7 linked regions of the Oryzias latipes genome follow. The protein of the gene in region 1 purifies or fractionates together with the protein of each later gene. This does not show direct contact. Links are inferred from orthologs where the notes say so. Each region holds a gene or a part of one and is shown in the gene's direction. Other genes may lie near its edges. The genes, in order: prpf19, cwc15, snrnp70, u2af2, snrnp200, bcas2 and eftud2.

The links.
Region 2: the proteins of prpf19 (region 1) and cwc15 purify together in Homo sapiens (co-immunoprecipitation; 4 studies listed by BioGRID and IntAct, with this or other methods). This does not show direct contact. The link is inferred for Oryzias latipes from reciprocal best matches to the Homo sapiens genes PRPF19 and CWC15.
Region 3: the proteins of prpf19 (region 1) and snrnp70 fractionate together in Homo sapiens (co-fractionation; 3 studies listed by BioGRID, with this or other methods). This does not show direct contact. The link is inferred for Oryzias latipes from reciprocal best matches to the Homo sapiens genes PRPF19 and SNRNP70.
Region 4: the proteins of prpf19 (region 1) and u2af2 purify together in Homo sapiens (affinity purification with western blotting; 3 studies listed by BioGRID, with this or other methods). This does not show direct contact. The link is inferred for Oryzias latipes from reciprocal best matches to the Homo sapiens genes PRPF19 and U2AF2.
Region 5: the proteins of prpf19 (region 1) and snrnp200 purify together in Homo sapiens (affinity purification with mass spectrometry; 3 studies listed by BioGRID and IntAct, counting the BioPlex papers as one, with this or other methods). This does not show direct contact. The link is inferred for Oryzias latipes from reciprocal best matches to the Homo sapiens genes PRPF19 and SNRNP200.
Region 6: the proteins of prpf19 (region 1) and bcas2 purify together in Homo sapiens (co-immunoprecipitation; 10 studies listed by BioGRID and IntAct, counting the BioPlex papers as one, with this or other methods). This does not show direct contact. The link is inferred for Oryzias latipes from reciprocal best matches to the Homo sapiens genes PRPF19 and BCAS2.
Region 7: the proteins of prpf19 (region 1) and eftud2 purify together in Homo sapiens (affinity purification with mass spectrometry; 3 studies listed by BioGRID and IntAct, with this or other methods). This does not show direct contact. The link is inferred for Oryzias latipes from reciprocal best matches to the Homo sapiens genes PRPF19 and EFTUD2.

The regions. Positions count from the first base shown.
Region 1 is NC_019868.2:15,898,563-15,902,704, reverse strand, and holds the start of prpf19 (pre-mRNA-processing factor 19), read left to right. Parts: upstream 1-1,339; 5' UTR 1,340-1,503; coding exon 1,504-1,522; intron 1,523-1,739; coding exon 1,740-1,889; intron 1,890-2,795; coding exon 2,796-2,872; intron 2,873-3,136; coding exon 3,137-3,278; intron 3,279-3,394; coding exon 3,395-3,468; intron 3,469-3,570; coding exon 3,571-3,636; intron 3,637-3,738; coding exon 3,739-3,780; intron 3,781-3,870; coding exon 3,871-3,945; intron 3,946-4,033; coding exon 4,034-4,109; intron 4,110-4,142. Other genes in the region: uncharacterized protein LOC101174031, read left to right, coding at 38-139, 220-318, 427-642. UniProt on the Homo sapiens protein: Ubiquitin-protein ligase which is a core component of several complexes mainly involved pre-mRNA splicing and DNA repair. Required for pre-mRNA splicing as component of the spliceosome.
Region 2 is NC_019872.2:16,000,711-16,004,951, reverse strand, and holds the start of cwc15 (spliceosome-associated protein CWC15 homolog), read left to right. Parts: upstream 1-1,387; 5' UTR 1,388-1,487; intron 1,488-1,843; exon of another isoform or gene 1,844-1,846; 5' UTR 1,847-1,853; coding exon 1,854-1,984; intron 1,985-2,787; coding exon 2,788-2,900; intron 2,901-3,008; coding exon 3,009-3,109; intron 3,110-3,970; coding exon 3,971-4,081; intron 4,082-4,241. UniProt on the Homo sapiens protein: Involved in pre-mRNA splicing as component of the spliceosome. Component of the PRP19-CDC5L complex that forms an integral part of the spliceosome and is required for activating pre-mRNA splicing.
Region 3 is NC_019866.2:24,779,963-24,784,106, forward strand, and holds the start of snrnp70 (U1 small nuclear ribonucleoprotein 70 kDa), read left to right. Parts: upstream 1-1,334; 5' UTR 1,335-1,539; intron 1,540-1,899; 5' UTR 1,900-1,905; coding exon 1,906-2,052; intron 2,053-2,126; coding exon 2,127-2,189; intron 2,190-3,313; coding exon 3,314-3,368; intron 3,369-3,450; coding exon 3,451-3,515; intron 3,516-3,582; coding exon 3,583-3,645; intron 3,646-3,869; coding exon 3,870-3,951; intron 3,952-4,144. UniProt on the Homo sapiens protein: Component of the spliceosomal U1 snRNP, which is essential for recognition of the pre-mRNA 5' splice-site and the subsequent assembly of the spliceosome. SNRNP70 binds to the loop I region of U1-snRNA.
Region 4 is NC_019874.2:19,813,314-19,817,458, reverse strand, and holds the start of u2af2 (splicing factor U2AF 65 kDa subunit), read left to right. Parts: upstream 1-1,293; 5' UTR 1,294-1,868; coding exon 1,869-1,917; intron 1,918-2,707; coding exon 2,708-2,876; intron 2,877-3,272; coding exon 3,273-3,308; intron 3,309-3,528; coding exon 3,529-3,632; intron 3,633-4,145. UniProt on the Homo sapiens protein: Plays a role in pre-mRNA splicing and 3'-end processing. By recruiting PRPF19 and the PRP19C/Prp19 complex/NTC/Nineteen complex to the RNA polymerase II C-terminal domain (CTD), and thereby pre-mRNA, may couple transcription to splicing.
Region 5 is NC_019867.2:18,372,792-18,376,364, reverse strand, and holds part of snrnp200 (U5 small nuclear ribonucleoprotein 200 kDa helicase), read left to right. Parts: intron 1-14; coding exon 15-188; intron 189-280; coding exon 281-418; intron 419-507; coding exon 508-663; intron 664-765; coding exon 766-936; intron 937-1,007; coding exon 1,008-1,201; intron 1,202-1,278; coding exon 1,279-1,402; intron 1,403-1,511; coding exon 1,512-1,661; intron 1,662-1,749; coding exon 1,750-1,992; intron 1,993-2,090; coding exon 2,091-2,279; intron 2,280-2,361; coding exon 2,362-2,559; intron 2,560-2,667; coding exon 2,668-2,820; intron 2,821-2,916; coding exon 2,917-2,997; intron 2,998-3,162; coding exon 3,163-3,246; intron 3,247-3,573. UniProt on the Homo sapiens protein: Catalyzes the ATP-dependent unwinding of U4/U6 RNA duplices, an essential step in the assembly of a catalytically active spliceosome. Plays a role in pre-mRNA splicing as a core component of precatalytic, catalytic and postcatalytic spliceosomal complexes.
Region 6 is NC_019865.2:942,913-946,640, reverse strand, and holds bcas2 (pre-mRNA-splicing factor SPF27), read left to right. Parts: upstream 1-1,291; 5' UTR 1,292-1,395; coding exon 1,396-1,488; intron 1,489-1,884; coding exon 1,885-1,977; intron 1,978-2,066; coding exon 2,067-2,137; intron 2,138-2,238; coding exon 2,239-2,400; intron 2,401-2,478; coding exon 2,479-2,529; intron 2,530-2,609; coding exon 2,610-2,690; intron 2,691-2,763; coding exon 2,764-2,890; 3' UTR 2,891-3,203; downstream 3,204-3,728. UniProt on the Homo sapiens protein: Required for pre-mRNA splicing as component of the activated spliceosome. Component of the PRP19-CDC5L complex that forms an integral part of the spliceosome and is required for activating pre-mRNA splicing.
Region 7 is NC_019866.2:5,489,254-5,493,277, reverse strand, and holds the start of eftud2 (116 kDa U5 small nuclear ribonucleoprotein component), read left to right. Parts: upstream 1-1,224; 5' UTR 1,225-1,378; intron 1,379-1,908; exon of another isoform or gene 1,909-1,929; 5' UTR 1,930-1,939; coding exon 1,940-2,044; intron 2,045-2,121; coding exon 2,122-2,284; intron 2,285-3,453; coding exon 3,454-3,532; intron 3,533-3,679; coding exon 3,680-3,755; intron 3,756-3,858; coding exon 3,859-3,924; intron 3,925-4,021; coding exon 4,022-4,024. UniProt on the Homo sapiens protein: Required for pre-mRNA splicing as component of the spliceosome, including pre-catalytic, catalytic and post-catalytic spliceosomal complexes. Component of the U5 snRNP and the U4/U6-U5 tri-snRNP complex, a building block of the spliceosome.

The DNA.
Region 1 (4,142 bases):
GTGTAACTTTGTGCTGAATTATTGTTTGTCACTGCAGGACTACAGTCACACCCATCCACACCCTGCAGCTTATTACAGTTACCCTGAGCATCCTGGAACACCAAGAAAGTGGAGCCCAAGAGCGAGCCCTGCTCACACTGTAAGACCAATGAACGGAATCACAGAAGCCTAAACAGCTGAATAGAACTGAGTGTTTGAACATGTGGGTTTCATTTCTAGGATTACACTCCTGTCACGATAGGGGAACCAAGTTCTGAAAACCAGCAAGTACAGCAACGGACAGCTGGGGTCTCGCCCAGGCATGACAGAAGCACTGAGGTAAAACTCTGTCAGCCTTTTTTGGCTCATGTTGACATAAAATCAAAAGAAATAAAAACTACCCATGTGCCCCCCCCCCCCACCCCCCACCCCCTGAATTCCCTCTAGGAGAACAAAGTGAATGAGAATGAAGAGAAGATTTCCTTTCCTGTGCCTGGAGCAACAGACTGCCTCCACTCCTCTGAGGACTGCGCTCAGTACCAGATTAAGAAGGATGGAGATGAAAAAAGGTGGAGCTCAGAGTTCTTTTCAACATTGCCACTGGACACAGACACCTCTGAATCCTGCAGCGTTTACACGTCAGAGAAACTGGACTTTTTATAAAACAGGTGCCAAAATGAGAAAAGAAGGACATTATAGAATGAACAAATAACAGTGAAGGACATTACTCAATGCAAGTTACAGTTCAAAATATTTTGGTAAACATAATCTTTGGATGCATGAATTTAGCATTGCATTTTCTGTCTCATGTTGCAGTGGTGGATTGTACTCTTAAGATCTCTTGCTGTTACCTACCTCCAGACCCTCAGGGCCACTGTTATCTGCACTGTGTTTACTGAGTGTCACCCTGTTTGCAAGTGTTGTATTATTTCTAGAGCTGCATAGAGTATTGACACTAAATATATATATTTCATACTCACTTAAACATTCTTCCACAGTGTTAATACATTTATAACCCAAACAACAATTATTGAATTAGTTATGATCTTATCTGTAACAGTGTAGTATTTGTTGCAGGTGTCATTCCTTTCAACTCAATGCAACTGTAAAGTGCTGTGAAATGTGCTTTTCCATTTGGTCTGCTAACCTTTGAACTTCATGAACAAAACATAAAATATTTCTATAACAAAAATTTAAAATAAACACGTGGTAAACAATAAATCCGTTTTATCTAAACACACGTAATCCAATTTTTAGTTTCAGATTACTAGTTTCCTGCTAGACACAGTAATCCAACGCATTGTTCATTTTAAGCACTAGGGGGCAGTGTGGAGACAACGTTCGAATTGCGTTTAGCAGACATTTCACGAAGAAGAAGAAGCTGGCTCATTTTATTGAGGCTATGAAAGGGCATAGCTTTTCTTAGTTTCAATTCAGTCATTATCGGTGCACACTAGCGAAACACAAGGTTGGAGTAAGCATATATTACTTTCCAGAGGAGACTATTTACACAGCGTTGGGAACATGTCTCTGGTTTGTGCAAGTAAGCTAAGTGAAAACCTTTGAAATGTGTGTGTTTAGCGAGGCGCCACGCAAATGCTACTAGTAACTAGCTAATGTAGCAGTTAGCGGCCATCAATGCCGCCTTTTATATGGAATTGCTTCCGTTCATTTTATGTTTGTTGCTTTTATTTACTTTTTAAAAAAGAATTTACTGATTTAGAATAGTCTTTCAAGCGGTTGCCACACCTTTATTTCAGTCTGCAACGAGGTTCCAGAGCACCCGTGCATCTCTCCGGTGTCCAACCATGTGTTCGAGCGCAGACTGATAGAGAAGTACATCGCTGAGAATGGGACGGACCCGATGAACGGACAGCCCCTGTCCGAGGAGCAGCTTGTGGATATCAAAGGTAAACGACACATCAGCCTATAATGGCGCAGGTTCAAGACCTTCGTCTTAAAAAGCAAATATCATTCATAACATATTGCATCTCTAAAGCACGTCAATTTACAAAATTTAAATAAATATATAAGAAAATTAAGCAAAGAAACAACGAATTTATGAAACCAAAACTATTGGAAAAACAATTTTTCACAAAGTATTTAAAAAAAAATGCCAGAAAGTTGATCAAAAAACAGCAGTAACAAATGGTGTGGGGGGGAAAAGTACTTTTTTGTTGTTTTTAAAAAATAGAGAAGGTCATAATAACATATTTATTAAATATCTATAGTAAAAAAACAAAAACTAATACACTGACACACACGCCTAACCTAAAAATATTGTTGTAGTATATTTGCAACACTTAATTAGTGGGCCTATAATCATGCTTTTCTTAAGCATTTCAGAGTAAACTATATCCATATAAATGACATATATTACCTTTGGAACACTAAAGAACAAATTATTTATGAAATATTAGTTATTTCAGCTCCTTTTCCTACCTGGAGGTAAGACTTTCGATCTCTGAGGCACTGGCTTTCGCTCCTTCCTTGTGGTTGCCGCCCATTTCATTTTGTTAACTTAGAGCTGGCCTCGCCAGTGTGTCTGCGTTTCGCCCACAAAAACAAACAAAATCCAAACTTGTAAAGATGGATGTATTGTGCATATAAAAGGTGGTTTGGGGGGTCTGGGTTTAGAGGAATGCTCAGAGCTTCGTCAATGGATCAAAATATGGCTTTGGGGTCGTTTTTCTTGAGGGCTTAACATTATGATTCACTTAAAGCTCAAAAAGTTGATTTTGCATGATAAGAAAACCTAATGTGGATACAGTGATTCTATACGGCTTTAGAAAATGTCTGCTTTAATTTCTTTGTAGTTACTCATCCTATTCGACCAAAGGCTCCATCTGCTACTAGCATTCCTGCCATTCTCAAGTCACTTCAAGACGAGTGGGTAAGTAGCATCAACGTATACAATGTTTTTAGTCATTAAAATATGAATAACAGTTCATTTTTACAATTGTGGCAGAATGGGATCATATCTTGTCAGTGGAATTGTCATTATTTAATGAAGAATGTGTTTTGGTCAAACAAAACGTCATGATCTGCGTTTGATGTGATGGGTTCCTTCTGGAATCCGCTTTTCAAAACGACCCGAAGTGGATTTTGAGAGATTCTCTGGTAAAAGTAACCTGACCCATTTTCTTTTGTGAATTAGGATGCTGTGATGCTTCATAGTTTCACCTTGAGGCAGCAGCTGCAGACGACTCGCCAAGAACTCTCTCATGCCCTTTACCAGCACGATGCCGCCTGCAGAGTCATCGCCCGCCTCAACAAAGAGGTCACTGCTGCAAGAGAAGGTCAGTGAAGTTTGCGTCAAATGCTATCTTACAAAGTGATTTTGAATGAAGAGTGTGTTTTGTTTATTCATAATTGGGGTTGTCTAATTGGCTCATTTGTTTGTCTTTTTTTCCAGCTCTTGCTACACTTAAACCCCAAGCTGGACTGGTGGCCCCTCAAGCAGTCCCTGCCTCTCAGCCAGCTGCTGCAGTAAAATTTGATTTATTTATTGAATTATTTTCCTTTAAAAAAAAGGCTTTGTATTGACTTTCATAACTCATCTGTCTAATAACTGTCAATATTGTGTTTCAGGGTGCTGGTGGAGAACCCATGGAGATCAGTGAACAGGTGGGAATGACCCCAGAGATCATTCAGAAGGTACGGCTTTCTTTAGTTTTAAAAACCATTCTACTTTGTAAAGTTTGTTTGTAGAAAGATTTTGTTCCTTTGGTCTATTTGACTGTTGTTGTGTGTTTGCAGCTTCAAGACAAGGCGACCATCCTCACCACAGAGAGAAAGAAGGTGCAGTATTGACTACAACCTAACAGTTTGTGGAGTCTTTATCTGTCTTGGTAGCGCCCAGTTCACCCTGTGTTTTTTTTTTATCTACAGAGAGGAAAAACTGTTCCAGAGGATTTGGTCAGAGCTGAAGATCTCAGCAAGTACCGCCAAGTTGCTTCCCACGCTGTAAGAAGAGATTCTGGAGAATCCAGAGGATGTAACTTTTTGTTTGGATTGCTTCATATTTGTGGTGTGACTTTGATATTTCCTGTAGGGTCTGCATAGTGCCAGTGTGCCTGGTATTCTGGCTCTGGATGTGTGTCCCTCTGACACCAACAAAGTGCTCACAGGTAAAGTGTCATTATTTTAATGTTGATTTAGTT
Region 2 (4,241 bases), on another chromosome or scaffold:
TAAAGATCCCCCCGCTTAAACGAACACGGGTCCAGGCCGTCTTAAGTTTGCCAGAGATCATCTGATTGATCCAGAAGAGTATTGGGAGAATGTCATTAGATCCAAATGGAACTCTGGTATGAACACCTCTTGCATTTGTTAGAGTAAGCATGCTGAGGTCAGAACATAGCTGGCTCTTCCAGCATAGCAATCATTCCAAACACACTAAAAATGAAGCTTTTTTTTTTTAACAAAAAGTTGGTAAAATGTCTGCAAACAGGTGCAGAATTCTAATTGAAAGGCACAGAAAACAAAATATGAAGTTTAAGTTACCAATACTTTGTCCAGTCATTTCACTAGTTAATTATTGTACAAAAATTCCAGAGTTATGCCTGATTTTCATTAAATTATTTATAAATTGATTAATACTTTTGTCATTTCTCAGACATTTCTTAAAACATTGGAGGGGAGGGACAAGTTTGGTGCAATCCAAATATTGTTCAGTATTAAGGGGAAAAGGGGCAAATCATGTTCTCTCTTCTCCCTTTCATTTAAGAGTGTATTTTTGAGCCTAAGAGGTGTTTTAGATTTGTATTTTCACAATTATGTATTGATATATCTTTGGAAAAGAATAAAATAAACTCATCAAACTTAAACAGCAAACACTGAACAAATATAAACCAGTGTTTCTGTAGTTGAAGTTAAAGCCAAAGGCAGCAAAGAGTCCAACGGCACAAATCCAGAGAAACATCCTTTTAAAGAGGAAGGCATATTATCTGAGAAGAACATCTCAAAACCTAAGGATGAAGACTCATCAGGTCTAAAATGGAAAAAGACAGGAATTTTACATCTGTTACAAGTGTTTCAATTATGTTTAATAGAATCTACGTATCAAGACTGTTAAATAAAGTTAAAAATAATGTGTTCAATTTGGAATAAACTATATTTAAAAATCATGTTGTGATGTTAATGTTCACTTTGAGTGGAGAAATTAAGCTACAGGAAGACACTGAACCTGATGCACATTGCCCCATGGTGGCCACGTAAAATGTTTTGCAAACCCTAATCGCACATTTCTACAGTAATTCTACCGGTTACTTCAAAAGAAGAGACAAGATGACTCCTCGTAAACACTTCCTTGTTTACACCAGTGCTCAAAGGTTTTATATGTTTTTCATTTTAAATGTGAGTGTTGGTTTGCTGAAATCAGTAATAGACATTTTTGGCTGTAATGCTTTAGAATTCAACCATGTACCCTGGAATATCACCACAGCATTTTGAAAAAGAAAGGTGTAACAAAGCATTTTTGTGCTAATTCTTTCTCCTTTGGTACAATATAGTAATTTCTTTACGATAAATATCAGATTACATTTGAAATGAGTAATGCATTTTCCAATTCTTTTTAAACGCACCAACAGAATCGTATTCTTGACGCATGCGCAACAGCAATTTCAATCCGGAAGTGACGTTCTATGGTATCCTCTTTCCGCTAGCCGTGTAGTGGAATCGTGAGTATTTTTTCCAAGTCAAAGACGTTTTTTTACAGATGTTTTTTTGTTAAAACGGTATAAATATGATAAATGTAGCCATACATCTCGTTTGATTAGTGTGCAGTGAATCTTAAAACAAATAAGTTTTCTAAAGAGCCCAAAATGAGTTTTTTGTCTTGTCTGAGTGTTAGCATAATCAAATTTGGTGGCTAGTAATACCCTTTATAAGTATTAAAGTCTGTTTAATCGATAAATGTATGTATATGTTTTGTTATATACAACTGATGTTACCTTGTTTGTTCTGCGTTTAAAGTACAGTAGCTAACTGAAAATAACTGTACTCATGTTTGACAAATACCGTGTTGTTGTTGAAGCAGGTTAGGGATGACTACCGCAGCAAGACCAACGTTTGAGCCGGCGAGAGGAGGGAGAGGAAAAGGAGAAGGCGATCTGAGTGCCTTGTCCAAGCAATATTCCAGCCGAGATCTTCCAGGTCACACCAAGATCAAATACAGGTGGTTTTTAGTTCCTATTAAACTCTGCTGCGACAGCTCAGTTGAAAAAGAAAGCGATTGTTTGAAAGAAACATATTTAATCATGTTAAGATTCTCGAAGATTCAATCTGAATTATTTGGGAAATGGTCAAACCGGATTGATTAAATTAGTCTTTTTGTGCTATAATTATTAAAAAGTGGAACATAAATCTACACTTGATTAAATGTCTACATGTATAATGTGTTGGGTACAATTAAGCTAACCTCACGTTGGAGCATCACATGAATCAGTTTATGACATGGGGGGGGGGGGGGGCATGTGTGCATTTTCTTGTCTATTTAGTGTCTCTCCATGACCCTTAAGAAAATGTTAAATAATTTGCTCACAAATATCTTGCATCTAATAAGTCATTGCTCAGTATTAAAATGGTTATCAACTAAATTGTATAACCATAAAGCTTTTGTACATTTGGAGTACATCATTTAGTATTGATAATTCTTGATGGTTTGTTTGCTGCAGGTTATGTTTAAATTGTAGCTACAGTGTGTAGGAGGGGTGGTTTGCATTTACCAATTGTGCAAGTTCTACAAAAAATATTTTTACAATTTTCGCTATATATTTTTTTTTAATATGCATTCAATCTCTCACAGTTGTAGTGTATATGATGGAATCATAGACCTCTCATCTTTTTAAATTAGACAATTTGCTAAATATGTTACTGAGAAATACTTTTTCCCCCAACTGTACATGTTACTATTTATCTCATGAGTGGTTTTTGGAGTTTGTAGTGGGACTTAGTCTTGAAAATGCTATGATCCCTTAGACAGCCCACTCAGGATGCCCCCGAGGAGGTGCGTGCCCGTGATTTCCGTAGGGAACTGGAGGAGAAGGAGCGTGTAGCAGCACGTGAGAAGACCAGAGAGAGGGGACCAAGAGGTTAGTCTCTATCAAAATTTTAGACTTACTGTTTTTGACACACAAGTATAAACCAAGCAAAGTATGTATTTTTCTGTAAATGCAGTCTTTACATTTTTTTCTCTCCAGAACACACTACATCCTCTTCATCATCTTCATCATCATCAAAGAGGCCCAGGTTGGATCAGATTCCAGCTGCTAACCTTGATGCTGATGACCCTCTCACTGATGTAAGTGTCTGCACTGATATAATAAAGAAAACATTTCATCAGTACACCTACGGCTGGGAGATGAGACCTTTTCTCGCTGTTGCACTTGACATGATCTGAATAGATATTGATATTTTAGTGCTATAAAACTTTCTCTTTAAAGACTGTAAATATTAAAATTAGCAATAAAATGCCTGGATTGACTTAATTGGGGAAAAATCACTGTAAAGTTGACTTTTAACAAACAATTTCTTTTGTACAACTTCTCTGCTTTGGACACATTAAACTTGAAACATCCCAGATGGTTCATTTGTGGTTAATTTTAGCTGATCAGACCACCTAAAAGAACAATTGTGGGTAAACTTAAAACTTAGTTTTTTCATTCAAGAAAAAAAATGTACACAAAATTTAAAAAGTGTGGCAAACAAACTTGATTTAAATATGACCGTTGTTCCTCCTCTGGAAAAATTGAGCAGACTGGGGCTCTCCAAATGCCAGGCTGGTGTATTTAAAGGCTAAACTCCCTGCATTGCCTCTTATGGTCGGTCCCACAGTACAGCTCCTGAAGCTGAACCTCATCCACATCTACAGCTACCAGCAACACATCCAGCACTGGTACCTCCAACAAGGTGGCATTAGTTAAACTGATAACTGTAGCTGACTTAAAAGTGTCCAAGTGTGCACACTACAAATAAAGACTGATGTACTCTCTTGTAAATGTCTTTTATTGAGAATACGTCTGAAAATGTCAACTTATTTAAAAGTCATTAAACAGTGGAAAAGAACGTCAGCAGTGCATGGGGGCTGTCACCATTCTGCCATAGTTGTGCTGCATGAGGCCATTGCAGCCTTAATCCTCTCTAAAATCCTTCCTCTTCACAGGATGACGAGGATGAGAACTCTGATGAAGATAGTGATGATGACGACACTGCAGCTCTGTTGGCTGAGCTTGAGAAGATAAAGAAGGAGCGAGCCGAAGAGCAAGAACGCAAAGTAAAACATTTGATCCATTTTGTTTTGGTACCTCTGTGTTTACAGTCAGCAGCATGACTTTGTTCAAACACAATGTTTTAATAATCAAGGAAAAATATGATTCTTGATGTACAAAGCCTTGAAATAGAATCTGTTTCCATTTTACGTAACTCATATTTTC
Region 3 (4,144 bases), on another chromosome or scaffold:
AATACAAGAGAAAAATCACACGGATGTATCAAACTCCTTACAGAGATAATCAACTGCATAGATTCAAACAAACAAACAAACAGAAACAAAGACACACTTAAGACACATTTAAATATAGTGATTATTAACTAAATAGTCAAGTAGAAAGTGATTTAGTGCTAGGAAAAAAAGGAGTTGGAAAAAGCAAATTCATATAATCTCACTCCTATTGAGTTATTTTGTGTGAGAGTTTTGCAGTTTTGGATGATAACGCTCCACCACATGCTGCCAGAATGATCACAACCAGTCTCTAGGCTCATATGGTCTGACCAGCAATGACCCTTGACCTGAACCCCATAGAGCAGGTCTGGGACCAGCTGAAGCAGAGACTCTTTTGTAATAAAATTAAGGGTATTATATTAGTTTAATCTGTGTTCCCCCACACTTCAATACAAAATGTAAAGTACGGTAAAACCAAAGAGCAATATAACACATGCACACTCTGACATGGTAAAATATACTTGGATTTGTTCAAAACAAAAAGGGTCTTGGTTACTTTATTTTTTACATAAAATATGAGATTTCCATGTTCATTTGTCATCCAACATAACCCCTAAAATTTAAATTCAGACACCTGCTCTATATTTATGTTGTCAATGGATAAAGCCACTTCTGTTTTTTCTTTATTACCAAATACCATAAACTTTGTTTTTGTTAATTATAATCAAACCACATTTTAAGTTTCATTTCCTTTTTAACACTTTTAAGTTAGGGTTTTAGATTATCCCTGAACAGAGAAATTTGTCTTCATGTCCAAATAAAACAAACTGCAACAACTTAGAAATACCCCAAACATTTATAATTGAACCTTGTGGAAGTCCACAAATAATATTCATGAGATCAGACTTATTACCTCCAAACTGCACATACTGTATTGTCTGTTTTGTAAATAACTGGTGGGCGATTGCTCTAACCCCATACGCATGCAGTTTAGAAATCGAGATAGAATGATCTATGGTGTCAAATTCCTTCTTTAAATCAATGATAACTTTTAATGTATTTTTCTTTTTGTCAATTGCTGTTGAAATTTCTTCAACTACTTTCATTGTAGCAAAACCTGTAGACCTATTAGAACCAAACCCATAGTGATTCTCACTTAACAAGTTATTTATTTTTTTAACAAAAAAATAAACTTTTAACAATGTCAAAGGAAACTTATATTTATTTCAATAAAATTCAGAGCAAAATGGGAAAAATCACATGGAAATCACATTGTCAATAATAAACTCATTGGACGGCGTCCTGACGTCATCACGTAAGTTACGTCAAAAGACGTACGTTCACGCGGCGGTCCCCCCCGCCATTTTATATTTTCAACAGGCCGAGCAGCCGCAGTACGCAGCCAGCTATCTCCACGTTGTTTTCAGCTCCATTTCCAGCATTTTTATCTTCACGGAGTCTCTTTTTGGCGGTTCTACGTTGAGCCACCGAACCCGCGGACAGTCCCGCTCCTCCTTCAGGTCCATGAACTAAAAGCTGCTGGACTCTGGAGGAGAGAAGGTGAGTGTAAGGGCGCAGTTAGTGGTTAGCTCCATGCTAACGGGAGCGCTACATCCCACGAGCGGAGCAGACGCCTCCGGCTGCCTCCGGACGGCCAAACTCTTAACTTGTACGCAGACCATAACGTGTACTACTGTGGGAGGGGGTTCCTGATGTTCTACTTCTGGATGCATGAAATGCGTTGAACGCGTCCCCCGTCCTGTGGGGAAGTGAACAATAAGCGCGTGAAGCTAGCTAGCTAGTACGGGTATTACGGCTAGCTAGCTAGCTAGCTAGCTGCCCTGACAGCTAGTTTCGCTGCTTCATTGTGTTGCGGCAGATCCGTGTCTGATATCATGCATGTTTTCCTTATCGATCAAGTGAAAGATGACGCAGTTCCTCCCGCCGAACCTGTTGGCCCTGTTCGCCCCCCGGGACCCGATTCCGTTCCTGCCTCAGCTGGAGAAGCTGCCCCACGAGAAGCATCACAACCAGCCGTACAGCGGCATCGCCCCCTTCATCAGACACTTCGAGGTGAGCGTCGCTGTCACGTGCGAGCCTCCGTCCCCCCGATGCCTCTGTCTCACCTTCCTACTGTTTCCCACCAGGATCCTAGAGATGCCCCCCCACCAACCAGAGCCGAGACCCGCGAGGAACGCCTGGAGAGAAAGGTGAGTTTCCTCCCCCCTTTGCACATGTGCTCAAATACAGAACCTGATGGATAAATAAACGGTTTATCTCTGCTTTCATCCAGAAGATTTCATATTTGCGTTTGTTTTGCTTTATGGCAGCTGGCAGTAGCACAGATTCTGTCACATCAACCCAATGAATCATGGGAGATGTAGTAAACTCTGTGACACTGATGCAAATCTCCGGGCTTCATTATTGGATGCACTTTTTACACGGTCTGACACCGGATCCTGCTTGAAGCTACACTTCCACCATTGTTAGCTGGTATTTTGTCAGGGTGAGGAACTGGGGGTGTTTTACAAACTTTTTCCAAAATAAGAGCCATTGGCCTAAGTTGCTGCACAGTAGTGGTGCAGACATTTTTTTTAATCAAAGTGTCTTAAATAGGAAGTAAAAGTCTTCTGTGATCTGTAGTACTCCCAACTGAAACCTGGGCGTATTTCGATGAACGTAGAGCTAATATTCTGGCGATGGAAAATGTTTTTTTTTTTAGAACAAATAGGTGAAATTGAGTAATTTCTCATGGCACACTCAACCATCTCTTTACTATATAAACCTCTAACCTGATCCTGTCTGTGCTGCAGCGTCCACCAGTCGTTACTGTTTGGATCTCTGATTGTGCTGCGTAGATAACGATGGAAGGCATGTATACAGAAAATTAGGATTAAAATTGCATTTGTTAGTATTGTTGTTTGAGAAACTCAACGCCTGGATAGCTCCTTTATCGCTCGCCATTTTTGTTGCACAGATAATGTTATGTTGGGGTTGTAACGTTTCAGTTGAGCGTCTTGAGCCATAAAGGAAATTTATTTGTGAACTTGTGAATTGACTGAAGCAGGAGTTTGGCTGTGAAGCACAGACCTAATGAATGCAGATTCTCAAAGGAGGGGTAGTTGAATTACAGTCCTAACTCCTTCATTCAGCATTTTCTGCCTCGGTGAAAACCTCTCAAGTCTATAGAAATATTATACCAGGCAGGAGCCCAGCACAGGTGCATGCTGGCAGCAGACAAGAAACCAAGTGCGGGATTATGTCAGCTCTGTGCTGATGCTCTGCTGTTGGAGGCTCTGCGGTTGGCCGTCACCATTTTCTTTTCTGTTTCCAGAGGAGAGAGAAGATTGAGAGGCGACAGGGAGAAGTGGAGACAGAACTGAAGCTCTGTGAGTTTGTCACTTTCTTCACGCCGTTCTCCTCAAACGGTGAAAAGCTTTGTGCTCATCCTTCCTGTTTGTTCCATGTCAGGGGACCCCCATAATGACCCCAATGCTCAGGGGGATGCCTTCAAGACTCTGTTTGTGGCACGAGTGGTGAGTATTTGTCTTGGTTCTTCTCACTCCTTGTTCACATCTGGTAATTAAAACCTTTTTGTTTCAGAATTATGATACGACAGAGTCCAAACTTCGCCGTGAGTTTGAAGTCTATGGCCCCATTAAACGGGTAGCTATTGATTATTATTTTTCTGTGTCCAGATTTTCTTCAAAACATGAACCCTTTTGTCTTTACAATGTGAGAAAATTCTCCTGGCTCTTCAAAATACTATAAAAAAAAGTAAAGAGCCGTGCGTGAAGCGTTTTGGCGCCGCTTTGTGCGTGTCGTCGTGCGCTGACTGCATGTCTGCTGCCTCCGCTCTGCCGAGTCTCACCAGGAGTTTTTCTTTTCAGATTTACATCGTCTACAACAAGGGAACAGGGAAGCCCCGCGGCTACGCCTTCATAGAGTATGAGCACGAGCGAGACATGCACTGTGAGTACGGCTGAGGCATCGGCCACCAAAGCCAGTCTGTGTTGGTGTGTGTGGATCAGAGCACTGCTCGTCACTGATGCTTCTGTAAGGAGACCAGCAAACTGAGCTCTGCTCACCAGATCCATGTCTGCTGCTCGTCTGACGTGTGTGTGTGTGTGTGTGGGGGGGGGGGTCTGCTCGATGTGTCGCCGGT
Region 4 (4,145 bases), on another chromosome or scaffold:
TATAAGACAGTGATACCAGGCGGCAGCACGCCGTTCACAACAAAAAAAAAAGGCAGAAAAGTTGTTTTCCTTGCGTTTCCTTCAATAATGAAGTTTAGGTGTTTGCCTTGGAGGGAGCTACTGCTGATATTTTTTGATGAGAAGTTGGCAATAGACACATCGTCACCTGTATGTAAAAAGACAACAAAATAGGAATTGCAAAGCACTGACAGCTTATTATTTGACATTTATGAAATGTTGTTGGTAAAGGAGTGAATACGTTTAATTTACTATAACGCCAAAACGACCAACTGCCATCACAGCAGACAACACTCACACAGGATGGCAGCAAAAAATGATCAATCCATCATTACAGTTCAATGTGACGAAACACTTTGAATTATGCAAAGACATGTGACCATACAGCGTGGCAGAATGTTCTAAAAATGTTCCCTTTGGATTATTTTGATGTGGAAAAACATTAGTGGGATGAACTTTATGAAAATAAAATGTGAATGGATTTTCCATTAATTCTTGTTTACTTGTTTGTTTGTTTTTACACTTGATTATCTTGCAAGAAATAGAAGGAATCTGGAAAACTTCACCTGCACCGTTCAGTCTCCAGGTGTTTATCTCTAAGTATCACTGGTTGAATTTTTGGCTAAAGATGTCCTCGATCGAGTTTAGGCCAGTGAATCGGATCAACTCAGATCATTCAAAATGAACCAATATTAACTATGAATCATATCAGCAAACATGAATTATGATATGAATAAACACCATGAATCGTTACATCCCTACTAGAAAGACGAACTCTAAGAAATTAATATTTTGCATAACAGGGCCTGATAGAGCTCATCTAAACATGATCTGTCCTGCCTGTCTGTGTGTAAAAAATGGGCTATTGCTTGATGAACCGTAAATCATTCAAAGTATACAGCAGGATGCTGACAATTCTTCTGAATCTATCCGCAGTGCTTAGGGCTGAGTTTTGTGTTGATCTTTCTTAAGGATCTATCACTAAAATCCAGTTTGTAGTTGTTTAATTAAATTGTGTAAATGACCGTTGATTGAAACACAAAAGCTTTAAGCATAACATTTAAAATCTACAGTAAGTTTTGGATATTTAACTATATTAACATGTATTTTTAACTGAAACACGTCGTTTTTAAGTTCATACATTTAGAAATATTCTCCCAATAACCATTACAGAGAAAGTCACATGCAGGTGTTCTGTTGTTTTAATCAGAATTCAATCACAGAATTGTCTCCATGCAGCTCCAAACACAAGCCAGAACCACACGACGTTCTTCTACCGGAAACGCAGCGTTCATCAACTTCCGATGTCACGGGGTATCTGGGAGTCGGAGCAAAAAAGCGGGCACAACAAAATCTTTGCTGTTTTTGTAGACTTAAAACAGCAGAAGGCGTAAAGATTTGGATTATTGCGTCACATAAACACATATTGTGGGCCTGTGACTAAGCTGGATTCGCTTTGGGCTTCGAAAATAGTCTCATTTATTCGGATTTCGTAGCCTAGCTAGCAGCTGAGCCTCCTCGGCGGTGTGGAGCAGCAGGCCTTTCTTCTGGACTTTGCTACAAGCTAGTTAGCTGGCGTTAGCGGGCTAACTTAAGCGAGCACGTTTTTCCTTTTTCCGTATTTGTATGTGTTACATTTGAGCAAATACCACGTCACTAATGTGTGTGATACCACCTATCGTTTGATAGGTTTGTTTTTGAGCCGTGTTTTTGCTAACCGAGGTTAACTTTCCGAAGCGCTATCATTGAAGCGCTTGAATCTCAAAGTGCTCACTTTCTTGCTAGCTTAAGCTAGCCTCCGCCAACCGAACAACGCAGTCTTCGAAAGCGTAGTAGGTTTCTATCCAGAGATGTCGGATTTCGACGAATTTGAAAGACAACTGTCTGAGAACCATCAAGGTAAATGGACTAGTTACACAATTAACAATGATTGCAAAAGAGGTACATGTCATTTTTATCTCTATGGTTAGCACGTCGCGGACGTGTCTGTTTAACTGGCCTATGATCAAATAGCCTCTAAATGTACAACGCAGCTTTACAAGTTTATCGATGTTTTCCTGTAATCTGGCTTTCGGTACTGTTGTATAATGCTATTAACATTAAAATGTTTTCAATTTTGTATTATCTTGAACTCCATCGTGGTATTATTATGGCATGTCCGATTCATGTGGCGTGTAATAATATTTAAGCGGTGCTTTCTGTCATTGAATTATCATTCAGCCGCTCGTGCTCGATAGTTCCTTTTTACAAGTTCAACTGTTTATCTTTATACATTCTCTACTGCAGTTTTTGCAATAGTCCTTTCAGTTTCATATTGTGTTTATGCTACTGATACAAATTCTTGCTTCTTTAATATAGCTGGTTTCCTGTACTCTCCTCTTTTATCTTCCTTTTTTTCCCACCTATCTGCAGATGCATCGTCTTGTAGCATGATTAACATAAAAATGTACTTTTAAGAGAAATAACCTCATTTATGCACATTTTCCTTCTACTTGATTACTACTTGATTTATCTTTTCACTTTGTGTTCATACCTGTAAGACCATTTATGAAAATTAAAATTAAACATCGAGAACATGTCTAAATTCAGCTCGCTTTAATTTGCTTTTATGAACAATATTTCTGGGGTTATGTTTTTTAAGAAGATTTTTGTTTTAATGAAAAACACTTTATACTTTTATACTTCATAGTTACTGAGCACCGCTCTTTTGCCACAGAAAGGGACAAAGAAAACCGGCACCATCGTCGTTCTTCATCCCGCAGCCGCAGCAGAGAGAGGAAGAAGAGGAGCAGGGATGGCGGGGAAAGACGCAGCAGGGACCGCCGTGGGGACAGTAAGGAGCGGAGACACCGGCGCAAGTCAGTACATCTACACCAATCCTCCTGTTTAAAAACAAGCTGTTATGTGTAAAATCTCTTATCAACTGTCCAGCAATAACATGGCAACGTTAAGTCTCTTTATTAACTTTATTGTAATGTCTGCAGTCTACATGCATCATTACATTGTTCACACAAATGCACCAGTTATGTATGTTTGTTCTGATGAGCTTTTGATTTCATTTGATTTATTCGTTTTTTTTTCCCTACTTCTTTTGAAATTAGAAGAGAATTCTCACTTGTTTGTTTTGAAGTGCATTGATATTCAAGTGTGACTGGAAATGCAGTGTTTTTTATTTTATTTATGAATCATAACTCAAAAAGTTTGTTTGATTCATATAAGAAATCTAAATCTCTTCCTCCAATTTGTCATTTCAGCTCGCCACCCGCCTACCCTCAAGAAAATACTGCAAGGTAACAGAAAACTTAACACAAAGCTGGCAGTTGCAGAAACTGTACATTGACACTCCTATCACTTTAAAGACAATTTACACATGTTCAAGTAATTTGTTTTTGGGTATTGTCCATTTTTCTGTCTTTTTTGTCACTTTTACTATGTTGAAATCGATGCAACCTTCTTTAAAAAAAAGTTCATTTTCTCCTAATGTTTATTTTTTTTTCTTCCCTCTTACAGCCGATCTCCCCATCGTGAAAAGAAGAAGAAGATCAAGAAGTATTGGGATGTTCCTCCTCCTGGTTTTGAGCATATCACTCCCATGCAGTACAAAGCCATGCAAGGTAACTCTTATCTGTTTCCAGTGTATTTAATTCACAAATGTGTACACATAACATGCTAAAGGCCTGTTCACACCGGGACGAATTTCGCCGGCGATTTTCGCCGACGTTTAACGCCTCGTGACTAAACAAAGGGCACGAAAAAACGTGCACGCGTTAAAGCGTAAAAAAAAAAACGCCTCGGGTTCGTTTTTTTTTCGACGCGACGCGTCGCGTCGAAATCTACTCGACCAATGAGAATGGCACTTTTGCTCACGTGTCTGGAGCTTCTGAAGTTACAGTAAAACACAACTTGGGGGCGCTCAAACACAAAACTGCCTTGCTGAGCACACATACCAGCGAAGAAGATAGACGCCAAGTAGCGTCTACACAGCCGCGAAGCAATAATGACGGACATTCTAAAATATCCCCGAACCAAGCACCAGTTGGAGCTACTGGTGCTTGAAATATTCATGTTTTCTTTGTTTGATTCTGACAAGCGTGTAAATACTTGCTCTCTTCTTCTGAGTGAAAAGC
Region 5 (3,573 bases), on another chromosome or scaffold:
CTTGTTTCCTGCAGTCAGTGATGCCTCGACAGATTTTGGACCTGGAAGACCTGACCTTCACCCAGGGGAGTCATTTCATGGCTAACAAACGCTGCCAGCTCCCAGACGGCTCTTTTCGCAAACAGCGCAAAGGTTATGAAGAAGTTCACGTTCCCGCCCTGAAACCCAAAGCTTTCGCTGACAACGAGGTTCGTCTGTTGCGTCTTTTGTTGTTAAGTACAAAACTTTCATCTTTTAAACGCAGCAGTGTCTGAAATTTTGGTTGCTTATCTTTCATCAGGTACTTGTTTCCATCGACAAGTTGCCCAAGTATGCTCAGGCTGGGTTTGAAGGTTTCAAAACTCTAAATCGAATCCAGAGTAAACTGTTCAAGTCTGCAATGGACACAGACGAAAACCTTCTAGTGTGTGCTCCCACGGTGAGTGAGCCCTGCACAAGCCAAAGGCGGCGGGAAAGTCATCCTGAACTCCGTTGTCAACATTAATCCTGGTATTGTTTTGTGTACAGGGAGCTGGTAAGACCAATGTTGCCCTAATGGCAATGTTAAGAGAAATTGGAAAGCATATAAACATGGACGGCACGATCAACGTGGACGATTTCAAAATCATCTACATTGCACCCATGCGCTCGCTTGTACAAGAGATGGTGGGAAGTTTTAGTAAGGTAAGCTGCATGCCCTTCCTTAAAAGCGTTGATTTCATGCATCAAGGAGTATCGCAAGCTTCAGGAGAGGGTTTTAGAGGTGACGGCTTTCCTTTTTTGCAGCGATTGGCAAGTTACGGCATCACCGTGTCTGAGCTGACAGGAGACCACCAACTCTGTAAAGAGGAGATCAACGCCACTCAGATCATTGTCTGCACCCCAGAAAAGTGGGATATCATTACTCGGAAAGGGGGAGAACGTACTTACACTCAGCTAGTGCGCCTCATCATCATTGTAAGTTGATTTAGAAAGGTATTATTCATTTCATTTTTGACAATCAGAATAACCAAAATAATTCGATATAGGATGAAATTCACCTGCTGCACGATGACCGTGGTCCTGTGCTGGAATCCCTGATCGCAAGGACCATTCGCAATGTGGAGCTGACCCAAGACGATGTCCGCCTGTTGGGTCTCAGTGCCACACTACCCAACTACGAAGATGTGGCAACGTGCCTGCGCGTGGATCCTGCAAAGGGACTGTTCTACTTTGACAACAGGTTTGTTTCAAAGCAGAAACTGCATGTGTGTGTATTCTCTTAACTCAATTCTTGTGCTTTTTTATTTTTGTTTGTAGTTTCCGCCCTGTGCCCCTGGAGCAGACTTATGTTGGCATCACAGAGAAGAAAGCCATCAAGCGTTTCCAGATCATGAACGAGATTGTTTATGAAAAAATCATGGAGCATGCTGGGAAGAACCAGGTGCGCCTTTCTGTTTGTTTTTTGTCATTGAGACAAACATTTTAATCTGAAATTCCTTTAAATCCTGGCTCCAATTTATCACTTTTAACGTTTTACTTGCTCCCAATAGGTGCTTGTATTCGTTCACTCCAGGAAGGAGACGGGCAAGACGGCCCGAGCCATAAGGGACATGTGCTTGGAGAAGGACACTCTGGGTCTCTTTCTCAGAGAAGGCTCTGCATCCACTGAAGTGTTGAGAACTGAGGCCGAGCAATGCAAGGTAAGAGTGTATCTTGAGGCTCCACACTTTTTTGTTTTCTTTCCCCGAATGTTGGATTGGTGTGGCTGATTTATCTTCTCTCTTTTAGAACCTGGAGTTGAAGGATTTGCTTCCGTATGGTTTTGCAATCCACCACGCTGGTATGACCAGAGTGGACCGTACCCTGGTGGAGGATCTGTTTTCAGATCGGCACATTCAGGTTCTGGTGTCTACAGCCACTCTGGCATGGGGCGTCAACTTGCCGGCCCATACTGTCATCATCAAAGGAACCCAAGTTTATAGTCCGGAGAAAGGCAGATGGACTGAGCTCGGAGCCTTGGATATTCTGCAGGTCTGTATGAGGTTTAGTTTTTATGGATGACCATTTCTGTCAGAGTTTGTACAACTCCCCAACAACAATAACTGAAGTGAATGTCCTTTTTTTCTCAGATGCTTGGTCGGGCTGGTCGTCCCCAGTATGACACCAAAGGGGAGGGAATCCTGATCACGTCCCACGGAGAACTGCAGTACTATCTGTCTCTGCTCAACCAGCAGCTTCCTATTGAGAGTCAGATGGTGGCAAAACTACCAGACATGCTAAACGCAGAAATTGTTCTAGGCAATGTTCAGACCGTGAAGGTGAGTGGTGGACTTGCATCAGAAAATTAAAGACCGTTTAAAAAACATTTTAAATGGTTTGTTTTACTGTTTCGTGTGTCAGGATGCGGTGAACTGGCTCGGCTACACCTACTTGTACGTGCGTATGCTCCGCAACCCCACCCTTTATGGAATTTCCCAGGATGACCGAAGTGCAGACCCGCTTCTGGAGAGGCGCAGGATGGACCTGATTCACACAGCAGCCAATGTCCTGGACAAGAACAGCCTCGTCAAATATGACAAGAGGACAGGCGCTTTCCAGGTATCCAGAGCTGGGCTGAGCAAACCTTTAAGCACCTCTATGGTGGAAATAAATTGGTAAAAGTCTGACCAGAAGACTCTAATGGTATTTTTTGTTGCATGTTTAAAGGTGACAGACCTGGGACGCATTGCCAGTCACTTCTATATCACTCATGACTCAGTTCAGACCTACAACCAGCTCCTGAAACCCACTCTCAGTGAGATTGAGCTCTTCAGAGTCTTTTCACTTTCCTCAGAGTTTAAGAACATCAATGTGAGAGAGGTATGTCCACTCATGAAAGTCAGACCTCCTTCAATTTCCGCCCTCCAAGAAGTTATTTACAACATGTGGGATAATTACAGAAATGTTTTCTTTTAGGAAGAAAAACTGGAGCTTCAGAAGCTACTGGAGAGAGTTCCTATTCCAGTGAAGGAGAGCATTGAGGAACCCAGTGCCAAGGTAACACGCATGACAAACCTCTTTCAATTTGAGCAACATTTCAGAATTTCTTATACATTTTTAGAGAGTTTAGATTTTATTTTATCTTTTGTTTGTGAGTTTTTATCAACTTGTAATTTTATTTCAAAATAGTTCAAATAATTCTTTTCCACTTTATTGTTTCAGATTAACGTCCTGCTGCAAGCATTCATCTCTCAACTCAAACTTGAAGGCTTTGCTCTCATGGCAGACATGGTTTATGTTACACAGGTGCTGCAAGACTTTTCTTTTGTCGTTTCAGACTTTTTCATGCCCTCTTATACTTTTTGTCTTCTTTTTAATGTTGGTGTTGTTTTTTTTTTTTTTTTAAACAACGATGATTTATAAGCTAAAAATGTTCCATTAAGTTATTGGCTGTGGTTACGTGTGCAAAACGTTTAATCGAATCAAAGATCAGATTAGAATTGAAATCTGTACACGATTATAACTGTTTACATATGGCACACTTTTGATCATAATAAATCATTTTGACATGCGCAGAACTATGTAAAATACCGGATATGACCATAAAAGAAGAAATGGCGAGTTCTTTTAAGA
Region 6 (3,728 bases), on another chromosome or scaffold:
CTTTATGCATTTGACCAATCAGATATAGCCCTTTACGTTGTTGACCAATCGGATGGAGCTCTTACGTTAGATGTTGCCCTACTAATTAGACGAGGGTCATTTGGAAGATAAATTTAAGGTATTTTGACTCTTATTTATACTAAACATTTGAAGGGAAATGGAAATGTTTTTGTTGTTTTTGCTATTTGTTCATTTTTTGCAAGTTATATCTTCATCGCAATATTGATCACTAATATCGCATATAGCGAGTTTTCCTCATATTGTGCGGCCCTACATACTATAATGCATACACATACCAGTACTTCCCCTTTCTTGGCTATTTACTCTTGGTTATTATTTCTGTATTGTTAAGATGAAATGCCTTCAACGTAAACTTATAATTTTATATACATTATTTAAAAAAAAATATTGAAGTGATGATGAAGTATTTTTACAAGATTGATCACATTTGTATCAGAAGAAAAAGCTATTTATATATTTTTTTAGAACAACAACAAAAGAAAGATAAAAAAAGCATTTATTTGTTGAAATTTAATATGAAACTCTTTAAAGGTTTACTGTAGTGCAGTAATAGCTGAAACCTGAAGTTTGTTACACTACACATCTGCAAGAAGCTCCTGGGGATCTTCTATCAGTCTGTGGTCGCCAGTGTAATAACCTACGCTGTGGTGTGCTGGGGGGGGAGCACCTCAAAGACAGACTTCTCCAGGCTGGAGAAGCTGATCAGGCGGGCTGGTTCTGTGGTTGGCACAAGGCTGGACCGTCTGGCTACTGTGGCAGAGAGAAGGACACTGAAAAAACTGACAGGTATCCTGGACAATACCAGCCACCCTCTGCACATGACTATCGGTAGCCAGAGAAGCACCTTCAGCAAGAGGCTGCTCCTCCCAAGGTGCGGGACTAATAGACTGAGGAACTCCTTTGTCCCCCGGGCCATCAAACTCTTTACCACCCCCGGGCCATCAAACCACTTAGGAGGGGGGAGGGGGACAGAAAGGAAAGGGAAAGGGCCTGAATCACTTTTTTTTTTTTGTATATACTGTTTGCAGATATTTAAATTGTTTTTTACTGTTCTAATCTTCCTCATTTTTCTAGTCACTGTGCTGCTTTTTCCTTTTTCCTATATGTATGTCAACCAGTGCTGTATGCGATGGAGATGTCAATTTCCATGCGGGAACCTCCCAAATGGATAAATAAAGTTGTCTATCTATCTACTAAGCTGCAGTTCCATTCCTCAACGCAAGAGGCGACAATCACGATTAATACAACACCGTTGAGACTTTTATTTCGGAAAGTTTTGACCGGAAACGGAAGTTTCTGATTAGCCGTTTGGAGTCTGTTAGCAGAAAAGGACTTTCTTTCTTTATTTTTATTTTTTTTTACTGGGGAGCGAACATGGCTGGAACGGCCTCGGTCGCTGGCGAAGTGTTTGTTGATGCGTTGCCGTATTTTGATCAAGGTTATGACGCACCAGGTGTCAGAGAAGCGGTGGGTAAACAAGAATGCTGCTTTAAAAGCTAGCTAACTTATAGCTAGTTAGAACTGTTAGCTAGCGATGCCGCATGGTAACGCGCCGTTCAATGTATAGTTGGCCAAACCATTATTATTATGATCGCCTGTATATTTCTTTAGATCTTGTCATTATAGGTTTCTGCTTTGAAACTATACAAGTTCATAATTTAGGATGAAAACCTTCAAAGCCAAAGCTGCTGTTTACCTCATCGGGTAAAACAACAGCTGAGGGGTTTGAAACAGCCGGCAGATCTGGAGAACCAGGGTTTGGTGACACTAAGTTGACATGTTAGATCATCAGGGGTTGTGGCTCATTTTTAAATCATGTTTGTATGAAAAATGGAGAGAAATCATTTGTACTTGGCCCTTCAGGCCGCTGCGTTGGTGGAAGAAGAGACCAGAAGGTATCGCCCAACTAAGAACTACCTGAGCTACCTGCCCATGCCGGAGTTCTCGCCGTTTGAGGTGAAAACCTGCAGACATTTGAAACTTGATTCCTAGTCTGGGTTGGCTAACCGGTTTATAATCCTTTCCCGTTTTGTTTTGGGTTTCAGACAGAAATCATGAGGAATGAGTTTGAGCGATTAGCCGCTCGACAACCAATGGACCTCCTCAGCATGAAGAGGTAAAAAACACACTCTGTCTGTCTGTACAATATTTCTGTAAATGTAAAAGAAAGAGAAAGTTTAGGGTGATTCCATAGAACGATTCTATTCTGCTGTGGAGGTATGAGCTTCCAGCCCCCACATCGGGACAGAAGAACGACATTACCGCCTGGCAGGAGTGTGTCAATAACTCCATGGCCCAGCTGGAGCACCAGGCCATCCGGATCGAGAACCTGGAGCTCATGTCGCATTATGGAACAAACGCGTGGAAGGTCTACAACGAGTGAGTGGCGGCCTGTGGGTCTCACCCTTTGGTGTCTGACTCTTCTGAAGACTCAAAGCTAATGTTGTCCCTTTTCAGCAATCTGGCCTTCCTGATTGAGCTGGCTCAAAAGGAACTCCACAAGTTCAGGTGATTGAGGATTGGATCATACATGCCTGAAAAGATCCAACGGTTACCATGGTTACACATTTCTGAACTTATGCCGGCAGGAAGAAGATCCAGGACCTGAACTGGCAGCGCAAAAACGATCAGTTGGCTGCAGGCGCCAAGCTGCGAGAGCTGGAGTCCAAGTAGGTTCTTCTTAAGTTCTGGTGTTCTCGTGGATGAGGGGTGATGTCTGACTCTGGTTCTGATTCCCGCCAGCTGGGTGTCGCTGGTCAGTAAAAACTATGAGATCGAGCGCGCCATCGTCCAGCTGGAGAACGAGGTGGCTCAGCTGAGGCAGCAGCAAGGGGAGGAGAACAAGGAGAACATCCGACAGGACTTTTAGGAGTCACCTCACCGGGATCCGTTGGATGGATCTGATTCGGTTGGTTTGGACGACTCGATGACTGCTGGAGCGTAGCGGGTCACTCGACTCCAAGACGGATGATGTTTGAAAGGCGTCGGTTTCCTCTGATGGAACCGTTGGGTCTTTTGTGTTCAGTTACACACAAATCATGGTTTGAAACTCATGATCGATCGACATGATCGATGTCTTTGTAGCTTGTTGTACAGTTTCTAAGTTGTGGTGGAGAAAAAAAATCCTGTTTTTGATTCAACTTTTGTTTTTTATCGTTTTAATAAAATGAACGTTTCATACACATTGTTATTTTTTTCAGTCTTTTACCTGTAAGTCTCTGAGCTTCAGAGCTGCAGCTGATGAGCTGGAAGCTAACAGATGGGAGCAGCTGGATGGTTTGTCATTCATCCCTCTTGAAGAACAGTGAAACCTAAAGTCTGAGGCCTAGAGTGAGGCGGTTTTGTGTCAGATCCCCTGTCTTCTGTACATCCACTGAACTTTGATCTCAGAAATCTGCAGCATTTTGTGCTGATCCATTTTCAAAAGTCTCAGCGTCTTCCATGACTTCCTGGATGAGTCTTCATCTTTGTTGTTGGTCAGTGGCACAGAAAGGTCACAACACATTAACTCACAACACATTAACTTACCACACAACACATTAACTCACAACCCAAAAACTCACAAAACATTAACTCACAATGGAAGTAAAGCTGCAATGGAGGTGCTTTTATCCTGAAATTAATTAGTGTATATATATATATATATATATATACACATCAAGCTCAAGGCCCCAACTGACAGTGTCCTCAGTGAATGTCTCAGGCAA
Region 7 (4,024 bases), on another chromosome or scaffold:
ATGGAAAGAGGAATGGAGGAAGAATGATTATAAAGAAGGACTTTGCGAAATATTTTCTGGAAGTGACCAAAGTGTCAGATAAGAGACAATCGTAGTAGCAATTGAATGTTGTTTGGCTTAAGGTTGTGTCCCACTGCCGCTAAGTACAATTTGCACATTGTCCAAAGGTGAAAATCATGATAGAGCTGTGAAATTTTCTCACAAAGAATCACATCTTCTCTTACTTTTTCCATGTTTATTCACATAAGACCAGTTTTTATATGTCATGTGTGAATATACGTGGAAAAAGTAAGACAAGTTGTGGTCTTTGCCACTAAAAGTTGTAGTCTCTGCAGAAGACTTTCACAGATGTATCACGAAGGAACCACGTTAAAACCATGGAAGAAGTATGAATAAACCACGCAAAGAACATGCAAATCCGCAGTTCATTGAATCTCCCCGCATAGGGAGATCTGCAAGAAGGGACAATCGCTTCTCCAGAGACGCATCCGGCCCCCTCACACGATCTGCCTTCCGCGAGACCTGAGCATGAGACCTAGACTCAGTAGACTGCTGGAGGGGTGATTTACCCGTCACACATGCAGCCAATGGTATATGAATAATGTGTAATTTTTGACCTGTTTGCAATATTTTGTATCATTTTTGTTATTAATTCTTTTTCTGCTTTGAACATTGGACATATTTGAGCTGCAGTGTATTCTGCCAAATCACAAAGTTTGAGTTCTTTTGACTATAGCCTAAAGGCCTAATACATTGTATTTGTGATCAAGCTAGCTTTGTAAATAATTTGAATTCCTGTTTTTCATACTTCAATCCAGTAATAAAAATATGCTAAAATAAGTTACAAATATGTCACATGAGTTACATATCTAACACGTGCTTTCCAGCTTAGTTTGCCATCAATAATAACTCCAAGGAATTTATATTTTAAATTATTTCAAATCTGGCAAAGATTAAAGGGCTAATAAAAGGCTCAGCACTCAAGAATTCATTACCAAGGAGTGTTAAAAAATATTCAACCAAACACAAGTTCCTTGTTGCACACAGTGGCTGCAAGTGCAACATCTACATTTTCAAAGCATGTTTGCGTTTTACATTCTCAGATTTCTGCATTATCAGCGGCATATTATAACACTAGTAAAGTTACAAAAGGAGTAGGTTTGATTGATTGGATCTGTTGGTTTGGCGCTTGAAAACATCCATACGCTAGGGGGCGTACGCGATCCTCAAGTGTTGTGACGTGTTAGTAGAAGAAGAAAAGCGGCAGTAGTTTGTCATGCGCATGGCGCTAACCGAACAATAATTTATCCTAATTTCAGAACAGGGTTTTATTTTGTGCTGTATAAATATTTTGCAGTAGTTTTATCCTTAAATAAAGGTAAGTGCAGTCAGCTTTATGTGTGGTCTCAGCAAATTATGTCTTTGTCTACGGTGTGACGTATCTCAGACGTTGATCCATTCATTTGTACGCTAGCTAGCTAGTTTGGTTACTTGTTTTTTGTTGCGTGGATCGAGAAAGCTCAATAAACTTTCGCAAAGACGATAAAATCCGAAACTTTTCATCAATTGATTGACTTTTTTCATAATCTAAATGCAGGAGTCGCTTAAATGTTCAAATTGCGGTCTTATTAGCATTAGCTGTTGTGGCCACAACCGGTTCATAATGTTTTTATTTTTTTATTTTTAAGTGAAAATAAAAAATAAACGTATTTTGCAAATATTTGAAATACAGTTGGAGATGTTAAACCTTTAAAAAGATACGTTCTATTTTTTTAATTACCCATTGAGAGTTTTCAAGCTTTAAAACGCTACGATCACTGCTACGTACTAACTAGTCTGACAAATTAGGGTTTCCTATTGCTTTCAAAACTTTTAACCCATTTTGTTGTTGTTACATACATGTTTTAGTGTTTCTTTGTAATTGTTTAGATATTTGAAGATGGAGGCTGATCTGTATGACGAGTTTGGGAACTACATCGGTCCAGAGCTGGATTCTGATGATGATGAAGATGACGTGGAGGCAGAGGACAGAGATCTAGATGAGGTTTCTTTGGCTTTCCCTCTTAGTTTTGTGAAATGTATAGGTTTCCTGAGCATTCATTTGTGCATCTGCTTCTACAGCGTGATGATGATGATGAAGATGAGCCTGCAGATGCTGAGGATGATACCCCAGGCATGGAGGTGGTCCTCCATGAGGATAAGAAGTATTATCCGACTGCAGAAGAGGTTTATGGGCCAGAGGTGGAAACTATTGTCCAAGAGGAAGACACACAACCCTTAACAGGTAAAGTGAACCTTTGACTTTCAGCTCAGGGATAGTAATAAAAAACTTTGGGCTCTATTCACAAATTGTGTCAAATCATCAACTCCTAATATTTCTTTATAGCTGACATTTTTCCTAGGGATGTTCAGATAAGGTTATTTGTTTGACCCTGTTCTGATTCTGAGTCTTTTTATTTTGAGAATCTGCTGATCAAATAGTTTTGTATAACATAAAAAATAAAATAATAATAATAAACAAATCCCGGTTGCCCCCAATTTTTTTGTAGTAACACTTGAATAGAGCAGTTTTGTGAAGTAGCTTGAACAATCAAGCAAAAAAATGCAAATATCAACTAGAAAAAAATAACTAAATAATAAGTTAAAAAATAGTTAACTGTTTATTATTAAAAATAGGTAATAATTGGTTAAATGATTAAGTTTGGGGACCGTAGATTCAGCATCTGCTTCCGAGCAGATGAACATTTTTGATCTGATGCGATTCATATCCATTAAAATATCCTAAAAATGAGGAACGGCTTTCTTCCAAAATCATTATTTCAGCATTAAAATAATGATGTGTATTCATGATCCATACCCACGTAACAGTCATTTCGTTTTGGTTGTTTTTGACAGATTATGGAGTTTTTGTTGTTTTGTTGATCACCTTCTCCTGCAGCTTGCACTTTGGAGACGCTCCCTTAGCAGTCGTCTCTCCGTTGAATTCTCATTAAAGGGCACATTTAAAAAATCCCCAATATTTTTAAACGCCCTTGCAGGTAGTTGTTTGTCATGGTTCTGTGAACCAATAGAGACATTAGCTCTCAGTTTTAAACGTTTATTAAAAGTCATTGAGCTCAAACTCCAAATCTGTGAATATTTTGCTAACTTAACGAACTGTCTTTGTGCACCTCCTACTCAAACCTTTGTTGTATTTTGCTGTGTTTCACGGCAACAAAACGTTGTGATCCTTTCGTGATATGCAGACTTCTAGAAGAGCATTTAGTTGAAATAATAAGCTTAAAATATATAGTGCTAATCAAAATAATGGTTAAATATCCGATCCCTGATTGGTATGCAACATCTGATTCTGATCAAGTCTGAAACTACTTCTTCATAGCTGGAAAACAGGAGCTCTGCATTTTATTGCAACTCTTTAACACAAGAACATTTTTGTCTTTTTGTTCTTTCTAGAGCCCATCATCAAGCCGGTGAAGCACAGGCGTTTTGCTCTGATGGAACAGGAGCTGCCTGCAACAGTTTACGACATGGAGTGAGTTTCTTCTGAAGAATCTCAATGGATTCCTAATGTTCCTGCTAAGTTAAAGACGTTGCATATTTTTTCTCTCTTTTTTGTCTTCATGATAGTTTATATTTGTTGTACTTAAAGATATTTTCTCTTTCCTCCCCATTTTTGCAGATTTCTTGCAGATCTAATGGATGGTCCCGAGCTGATCCGAAATGTCACACTCTGTGGTCACCTTCATCATGGCAAGGTTAGACCGCGCTGCCTCACAGAGGCTTCTGACTTTAAACTCTGTGAGTTTACATTTTGTGTTTGCCTCAGAGAAATCTAACAAACCCATTTCTTCCTTTTAGACTTGTTTTGTAGATTGTCTGATTGAGCAGACACACCCAGAAATCCGGAAGAGGGATGATGTAGATGTACGTTTTTCCTTTATTTTACAAAAAAATGTGAAAATGATTCTACTGAATTGCGACTTGAATGGTTTGAGGTTAACGTGATTTTCTATGTTTTAAGCTC